Linked DNA regions of Ovis aries. Each later gene encodes a partner of the first gene's protein in a complex. Links are inferred from orthologs where the notes say so. Each region holds a gene or a part of one and is shown in the gene's direction. Other genes may lie near its edges. The genes, in order: GIPC1 and PLXND1.

The links.
Region 2: the proteins of GIPC1 (region 1) and PLXND1 are in contact, whole or in part, in a crystal structure (PDB 5V6T), measured with the Mus musculus proteins. The link is inferred for Ovis aries from reciprocal best matches to the Homo sapiens genes GIPC1 and PLXND1. Residues at the interface, in NP_061241.1 of Mus musculus: His61, Glu141, Ala142, Leu143, Gly144, Leu145, Thr146, Ile147, Thr148, Asp149, Asn150, Gly151, Phe156, Lys158, Arg159, Arg190, His191, Tyr192, Glu193, Ala195, Arg196, Leu198, Lys199; in NP_080652.2 of Mus musculus: Glu1400, Met1889, Glu1893, Arg1899, Gln1902, Gln1904, His1905, Glu1908, Ile1918, Tyr1919, Cys1921, Tyr1922, Ser1923, Glu1924, Ala1925.

Annotation. Positions count from the first base shown.
Region 1 is NC_056058.1:9,604,178-9,608,476, forward strand, and holds the start of GIPC1 (PDZ domain-containing protein GIPC1), read left to right. Parts: upstream 1-1,301; 5' UTR 1,302-1,371; intron 1,372-1,877; 5' UTR 1,878-1,886; coding exon 1,887-1,991; exon of another isoform or gene 1,992-2,061; intron 2,062-2,127; exon of another isoform or gene 2,128-2,274; intron 2,275-2,812; exon of another isoform or gene 2,813-3,025; intron 3,026-3,838; exon of another isoform or gene 3,839-3,893; intron 3,894-4,299. UniProt on the Homo sapiens protein: May be involved in G protein-linked signaling.
Region 2 is NC_056072.1:56,125,648-56,129,446, forward strand, and holds part of PLXND1 (plexin-D1), read left to right. Parts: intron 1-274; coding exon 275-473; intron 474-1,043; coding exon 1,044-1,190; intron 1,191-1,307; coding exon 1,308-1,464; intron 1,465-1,787; coding exon 1,788-1,891; intron 1,892-1,970; coding exon 1,971-2,034; intron 2,035-2,308; exon of another isoform or gene 2,309-2,690; intron 2,691-2,707; coding exon 2,708-2,742; intron 2,743-2,961; coding exon 2,962-3,066; intron 3,067-3,541; coding exon 3,542-3,705; intron 3,706-3,799. UniProt on the Homo sapiens protein: Cell surface receptor for SEMA4A and for class 3 semaphorins, such as SEMA3A, SEMA3C and SEMA3E. Plays an important role in cell-cell signaling, and in regulating the migration of a wide spectrum of cell types.

The DNA of each region.
Region 1 (4,299 bases):
TGGAAAAACCACAGCTTTGACTATACAGACTTCTGTTGGCAAAGTGATGTCTTCACTTTTTTTAAATATGCTGTCTAGGTTTGTCCTGGCCTGGGAAGGGTGCATTTGTGTCTTTGTTTCTTGTACCTGCTTCTGCCTAAGAAATCTCAGTTACAAGCCAGACCTGGAGATGGTGAGATTACCTAGTTCTTTCATCCACATATGTATACTGAAACCCTGCTCTGTGCCATTCTCAGGACTGGAGGGTGGGGGACAGAGAGGGAACAGAGATGGAGACAGACTCGTGAATGTCAGCTCCCTCAGGGCTGAGACTTGGGTTGGCTGGGTATCCTTTGTAATCTAGCACATAATATGTGCTCAATAAATATCCACTGGTCAACCAGCAAGCGAACAGACCGTTTTGCCCTTGTCTTTCGTACCACTGCAACCTAAAGATGCTTTGCTAGCTGCTTTGCAAACTCCTTCGCTATTGCACTCTCCTAAAGTGTGCTGTATCTCTCTGTCCGCCCTCCAAGCCTTTGCATGCCCCGTTCCCTTTACCAAGAGCATATTCATTCAGCTTACTCGTAGACGTATCTGTTGAGATAGGACAGAGCCTGGCACGGAGCAGGAGCGCCTTAAATATTTGATGAGTAAATGAATGAATGAATGCCCTTGTCCATTGTCCATCCAGGACGCTGGACACGCGGGACCCTCCCTATTCATCTCAGTCCCCCGCCCTCCCGCCCAGAATGAATACATCTTTTTATCCGCTCTGAGGGTGGCCGAGCTGAGACATGGGCAGGCCAAGTGGAGGACTGGATTAGGGACCGCCCTTGGCCCCCTCCGGGTATCCTAAAGGGTTCCCTTTTCTGGACTTTGGAAGTTTGTATCCTTTCCCCCTCCCCACCCCCAAACTCAGTATCGGTCACCTGACTTCCACGACTAGTCCCCCGCCTCTTAGCACCCACAGCACCCCACACGGACACTTAGCCAAGAACACGTGGTCCGGGGGCCCCAGCTTCCCATTGGCCGCTGGCCTCCTTCCTCCCAGAGATTGGCTCGGGCTCGGCCTCAGCTCCCCCTTCCGCCGCCTCGCGGTGGAACAGGCCGCCGCGGCTTAGGAGGGGTGGGAAGGTCCAACGCTCCGCGGCGGGGGAGGTGTCGTGAAGAATCGCGTGCAGCGCAGGGATCCCTCTGGAATGTTTCCTTCGGGTTCCACCCGCAGGGGGGCGGCGTGGAGTGGATTGGCCGCGAGCGCCGGGCGGCCGTTTCTGATTGGCCAGATGCGGGCGCCAGCCCCGCCCCCTGGCGGTGGCTGCGGGAGAGGCCCGGGCCAGAGTTTGCGGAGGGCCGAGCTGGGCGAGCTGGGCGGCGGCTAAGGAGGCTCAGGTGAGTATACCCGGCAAGGCAGGGGCGAGGGGGTGGTCCATCGCGGCCGCTCGAGGGGACCCCGGAGCAGACCCGCGAGATCGCGAACCCGCGGAGATTCGGCCTATCCTGCGGGGTGGGGCCGGCCCCATGGACGCGGCTGGAGGTCTAGGCTGAGTGGGGTGGAGGGGCGGGACGGGGTGGGGGGAAACGTCCGAGTCCCCTTCCCGGAGGACCGCCTGCCTTCCCTCTAAGGTCAGGGGTGAACGCCTCCCGGCGCCGGGATGTCGTCTCCAGCCGCACCCCAGCCCCCTGCACCTCTGGAGAGTTCCCCTCCCGGTGGGGACAGGCGCAGAGTCGGTATTTCTGACAAGTCCCCGAAGCTGGCCTTGTCCCCGAAGCTGGCCTTGTCCCACTCGTCCAGGGCCTGGCGAGGGGGTGGGGTGCGCCTTGGGAGGATCGAGGTCCCGATTGTAATAATGAAAACAATCACCCGGGCTAGCATTCATTGAACACTTCCGTGTCAGGTATTTACCATGCGGATCATTGAATCACCCCTCATGGAAGTTGCTGTTACTTCTTTCAGAGGTGAAGCAGCAGACCCAGAGAGGTGGAGTGTCTTGCCTAAGGTCACACAGCGAGTAAGTGGCAGATCTGGGACTCAAACCCATGCTTCAGAGTCCAGAACTGGAATCTCCGCCACTAGACTAGGTATCCAGTGGCTTCAGGGCTCAGGTGTTTCTGACCAGCTCCTCCCACTCCATTCCCTCCAACCAGGCAGCCATCTGGGGCACACCTGCTGGTCTTCGTTTTCACCAGCTGCTCAGACAGGAAGCTGCCCCCATGTCCCTTTTCCCCAAAGCTGGAAAAGCAAGGCCAGACTACTGGGTCCTAAGAAGAGAGAGACATCTGTGGGAGAAATAGGTGGGTGGTGGGGACCATTGGGGTCCTGTGGCTGCTGGGCCCCTAGGGAGGCCTGGGCCGCGGACAGTAGGCATTCTCCCTGGAAACACCCATGAGCCGGTTTTTCAAGACTGATTCAGAGGCCTCCTGCCCTCCTCTTCCAAGCAATGCACTGCCAAAAAGGGGAGCATGGGCGTGGTGTCCCCTTCCCAGCTTGTGTGAGCTCTCAGGAACCCCCTTCCCATTTCCTGCTCCTCCCATTGCAACGCTGTGTGGCTGTAGGCTTGTTAAGTTCCGGGCCCTCCCAGTGAAGAGAGGGTAGGGATGTGGGATTCCAGCCAACCTGCTCAGTGCCACTAGCTGAATTGAAGCTCATTTTCTCCATACCTGTGTTCAAGTTTAAGAGGAGACTGGGAGTGTGGTGGGGAGGTGGCAGTTTGAAACGGTACAGTAGGCATGTTCTGAGGCTAGAGGGGCTCAGAGAGTAGTCAGAATGAGGGCGTAAGACACATTATTCATTCGTTCTGTACATATTAATTAAGTACCTGCTATGTGCCAGGTGGGCTTCCCTGGTGGCTCAGTGGTAAAGCATCCTCCCACCAGTGCAGGAGACACAGGTTTGATCCCTGGGTCGAGAAGATCCCCTGGAGGAGGAAATGGCAACCCACTCCAGTATTCTTGCCTGGAAATCCCATGGACAGAGGAGCCTGGTGGCCATCGCAAGAGTTGGACACAACTTAGCAACTAAACCACCACCACCACCACAGGCCAGGTACTGTTCCTGGCATAGAGGATACAGTAGTGACCACAACAGAAATCCCTGCTCTTGGGCAGCTACCATTCTAATGGGGGGGGGGGGGGAACAGGCAACAAACAAGTTGTTAATAACAAGTAAATAAAGAAAACACTTGCAAGAGGTTGATAAATGCTATAAATAAAATATGAGGGAGTGGCATGGTAGAATCTGTAAGAAAGGGGGATCTCGGAGGAGGTAACTTTGGAGCCAAGATCTGAATGACAAAAAGAAGCCAGCTTTGTAAGGATCAGGTAGGGGGCACAGCCAAGGCAAAGGCTCTGAGGCTGGGCCAAGCTTGGCATGGTATGGCTGGGGCAGGAGAGAACCCACAGTGTGATTCTGTGGGGATCTGTGGGTCACATTAAGGAGTTTAGAGCTTTTCTTCTATCACGTGGGAAACTGATGTAAGATTTGAGGCTGGGGAGCAACACGATCTGGTTTATGTTTTAAAATAGAGACATGAAGTGAAATAACAGCCTAAGACTGGAAGACAAGGGTTCTGCCAGAACAGCATGTAATTAAGTCCGTGGGCCTGAGTTGTCTAGACCACAGGGGTGGTTGTAACAGGCAGGGACAAGCCGAGGAGGCTGCTTGGAGGAGGTGGCCAGGAGTAGGCCTTGACAGGCAGAGGGGACTCCCTGGGCAGGGCAAGGGAAGAGGCAGTAATAACAGTGAGAGTAATAATTTTCTTAAATCAAATGTCAGGCAAAGTGCTAATTGAGTTACTTGCATAAACTCTTTGGATTCCCATAAGCACTCTGAGAGACAGTAATTCTGCCCATTTTTCAGATGAGGAAACTAAAGCGCCATCAAGTGAAGTGACTTGCCCACAGCCACTCAGCTGGTAAGTGACAGGGGTGGGATTTGAACCCAGGCCACTCTGCCTCTTCTGGCCTGGAAAACAAATTCATAAACCACCCACTTTCCTTACCACCATTATTTCCCTGTCCTGGGTAAGACATGCAGCCAGCCTGAACCAGGGCATCAAGTGTAGGCAGACTAAGGAAGTTGGGAGTTGGTGAGCAGGATGTAGGGGCCCTAGAAAAAGGAGGGAGTGTGAATCTTGGCAGCTGACTAAAGATGATACAGATAGAAATAGTAGTAATTGTCACCAGCATTTATGGAACTCTTACTGGAGAAGGAAAGGCAACCCACTCCAGTACTCGTGCCTGGAGAATCCCATGGACAGAGGAGCCTGGCGGGCTACAGTCCACGGGGTCACAAAGAGTCGGACACAACTGAGTGACTTC
Region 2 (3,799 bases), on another chromosome or scaffold:
ACCGTGTCCTTGGGGCAGCTGGCATCTCCCCAGAGTCAGGCCCTGAGGCCTTGGCCCGTCTCCCCATTCTGCCCCTTCCTGGTCCTGCCTGCCCAGGACGGGGCTCGTGGGCATGGTGGTTAAGCAGCAGGGAGGGTAGGCTTTTCTCCAGGGAGATTTCTGCTGCACCTGCCTCATCCAGTGACAAGGGGGGCACTGGAGCCCCCGCAGTATGGTCCTTGGGTCCCAGGGCCTCACAGTGTGGCTGACCCCCCACTCCCACGCCTGCCCACAGGTGCAGCCTGGCCTCCCTGCTGACCATCGCGCTCCACGGCAAGCTCGAGTACTACACAGGCATCATGAAGGAGCTGCTGGTGGACCTCATCGACGCCTCAGCTGCCAAGAACCCCAAGCTGATGCTGCGGCGCACGGAGTCCGTGGTTGAGAAGATGCTCACCAACTGGATGTCCATCTGCATGTACAGCTGCCTGCGGGTGAGGGCACCAGGCAGCCGTGCCCCTGCCCCGGAGATCTCACTTCATCTTCCTGCCATCTCTGCCAGGACCAGTGACTGTGGTCTCTGCACACATGTGGGAAAGGGGCTGGCCCACAGGGTCCATTATACGGGTGGGGGAATCAAGGTTCAGAGCTACCCTGGGAACAGAGGCCGTGTCAGGAAGACACTCTCTCAGCCCCCGAGCCCTCCCTGGCATGCCTTTGAGTCCAGCTCTGCCGCCTCCCTGCTGGGTGACCTTGAGCAGCTTGCTTGCCCTCTCTGAGCCTCGCCCGTGAGGATGCTACCGCTACCTGGAAAGGTTGCCAGCGCGATAAAATGAATGCGGCCGCCCAGGTTGGGCGATGTCTGAGCTGGGAGTCCAGGGAGACGCCCTGGGTGTGGGGATGGGAGGGCTGAGCGGCACCAAGATCAAAAGGTGTGAAGCAGGCAGCTGCGGGGGGGTTGGTGGAAGCGGGTATGCAGCGGTCCAGGTGGGGGCCACAGGCTCGGGGCTCGAGTCTGGAGAGTGGGCAGCTGGCTTCAGCCTCTGACCGCCCCCCGCCCCCAGGAGACGGTGGGGGAGCCCTTCTTCCTGCTTCTGTGCGCCATCAAGCAGCAAATCAACAAGGGCTCCATCGATGCCATCACGGGCAAAGCCCGCTACACGCTCAACGAGGAGTGGCTGCTGCGGGAAAACATCGAGGCCAAGCCCCGGGTGAGCCGGCTCGGGGGGTGGAGGGGCTCCCAGCTTCGCTCCTGACACCCCCACCCGCAGGCTGTCTGCCCGTCTGGTCGGTGGGCAGCTGCTGAGCCCCCTGTCTCTCTCCTGCAGAACCTGAACGTGTCCTTTCAAGGCTGCGGCATGGACTCGCTGAGCGTGCGCGCCATGGACACGGACACGCTGACGCAGGTGAAGGAGAAGATTCTGGAAGCCTTCTGCAAGAACGTGCCCTACTCCCAGTGGCCGCGTGCTGAGGACGTGGACCTAGGTGGGCTGGGTGGGAGGGCGGCCGACGGGCCCCGCTCAGTCACGTGTGTGCTGTCTGGGGCTCTAGGGATGTGGAGACGGTGCCCATCAGCCAGGAGCTGATGTTGGGGCCCCGTGGGGAGTTCGCCGCAGGTGATGAAGGCCCGGCCACCCAGTGACCGCCCCGCGGATGGCTGTGTGGAGCCGCGGCTCCGTGCCCCCGCCCGGCCCCCCCCGCCCGGCCTTCCAGATGCAGGAGTAGAGGTTCAGAGAGCTCTGGGGGGACCCCTGCTTCTCTCCCCGTGGGGGACACCCCGGCCCTCACCCCCGGTCCCCCACCCCTAGAGTGGTTCGCCTCGAGCACCCAGAGCTACATCCTGCGGGACTTGGATGACACCTCGGTGGTGGAGGACGGCCGCAAGAAGCTCAACACGCTGGCCCACTACAAGGTGGGCCCCGGCCCTGCCCGCCCCGCCGCGCCACCCTCCCTGACCTCTGCCTTCTGACCGCGGCCTCTCTCCCTATCAGATCCCCGAAGGCGCCTCCCTGGCCATGAGCCTCACAGACAAGAAGGACAACACCCTGGGCCGAGGTAGTGCGGGCGGACAGGGGGCCGGGCCCTCCTGAGTAGCCCCGGCAGGGGGTGGGTAACTGAGGCTTCCAGGGGCAGGGCCGGGCTGGGCCGGGTGCGGCGCCCTGCCGCAGTGCTGCTTGGGTGGGGCCTGTGGCCAGGCCTCCTCGACGCTGGGTTCCTGCAGGCAGCCGAGAGGGGCCCCAGGAGCAGGGAGGCGGTTGTAAGAGGTCTGGGCAGGCGCCAGGCCATCAGGGGTTTGGGCTGTGTCCCTGCCTCACCCCCGCATCCCTACCTTCAGATGCCCCAAGCTTGGGGGTCCTAGGCTCCTGGAGGCCTTGGGGTCCCTTCCAGCAGCTGGTGAGGTCTGGGCTCGGGGCAGTGGGCCCTCGTGGGGAGCTGCCCCGTGTCCATCTGTGATCATCTCCCTGCTTCTCCTGTCCCCTGTGGACGCCTTTCTGTCTCTCTCAACGCCTCTGTCTTTCTGTCTGGGCCTCCTTCTATGCGTGTCTCTAGCTCTCACTCTCCATTGTCTTTCTGTGCATTTCTCGTCTCCTCTCCACACATCTATTTGGCTGTGCCCATCTCACTGGGTTTCTTTCTCCAGCTTTTTGCCTCCATTTCTCGTTTGCTCGCTCTCTCTCCCCCTGCTCCTGGCTCTTGTTTATTTATCGTGTGTGTTTCCGTCTCGCAGTGAAAGACTTGGACACGGAGAAGTATTTCCACTTGGTGAGTGCCCTGCCTCTGGCCCTGGGGGTGCCCGCCCCTCACTGGGAGTGGACTTGGCCTCCTGCCACCCTGGGCCTCTGAAGGCCGTGCTCCCAGGCCTGGGGAAGGCTGGGCTGGGGAGTGTGCAGAGCCAGGCACCCGCGGGGGCCGGGTAGGGCCTCCCAGGGGCAGCTAAGGGTGGTGCCCGGCGCCAGCACTGACCCAGCCCGGGCCTCCCAGGTGCTGCCCACAGACGAGCTAGCAGAGCCCAAGAAGTCCCACCGGCAGAGCCACCGCAAGAAGGTGCTCCCGGAGATCTACCTGACCCGCCTGCTCTCCACCAAGGTGGGCCCGCCCCCCGCATGTCCTCACTCCCGGGGGTCAACTGGGACCACACGCTGGGGGAGCGGGGGACAGCTCTTCCCCTGCAGGGCCAGCCGCACCCCCAGCTTGAAGGGTGCCCGGCAACAACTTCTCTGTTCGCTGGAGTGACAGAGAAGGCAGTAGTGGCCCAGAAACATTCCCAAGGCCACATGGCTAGAGGCAGAGAGCCCACACCCCAGCCCACCAATTCCCTGCTCTGTGTCCAAGTCCTTCCGACACTCCTGTGCCGTGGGTTTCACCAACCCATTTCACAGACAGGAAAACTGAGGCCCAGAGCACTTAGGAGGCCAGCCTGGGGCCACACAGCTTCCCGTTCACCCAGCACTGCTCAGCCCCAGCACCACGGGCTCCCCACAGCCGCCAGAGGTGCCTGTCACCAACCCCCTCCCGCCCCCATGTGTTCCTGGGCTGATGGCCGCCACTCACTCCCCTGCAGGGCACGCTGCAGAAGTTTCTGGATGACCTGTTCAAGGCCATCCTGAGCATCCGGGAAGACAAGCCCCCACTGGCCGTCAAGTACTTCTTTGACTTCCTAGAAGAGCAAGCCGAGAAGAGGGGCATCTCAGACCCCGACACACTGCACATCTGGAAGACCAACAGGTGGGGGTCCCTCAGGGGGTCCGGTAAGGGGCGGGGCTGCTTCACTGGATCACGCAGGCAACAGTGGGGTTGGGGTTCAGAGCCTGGGTTCAGT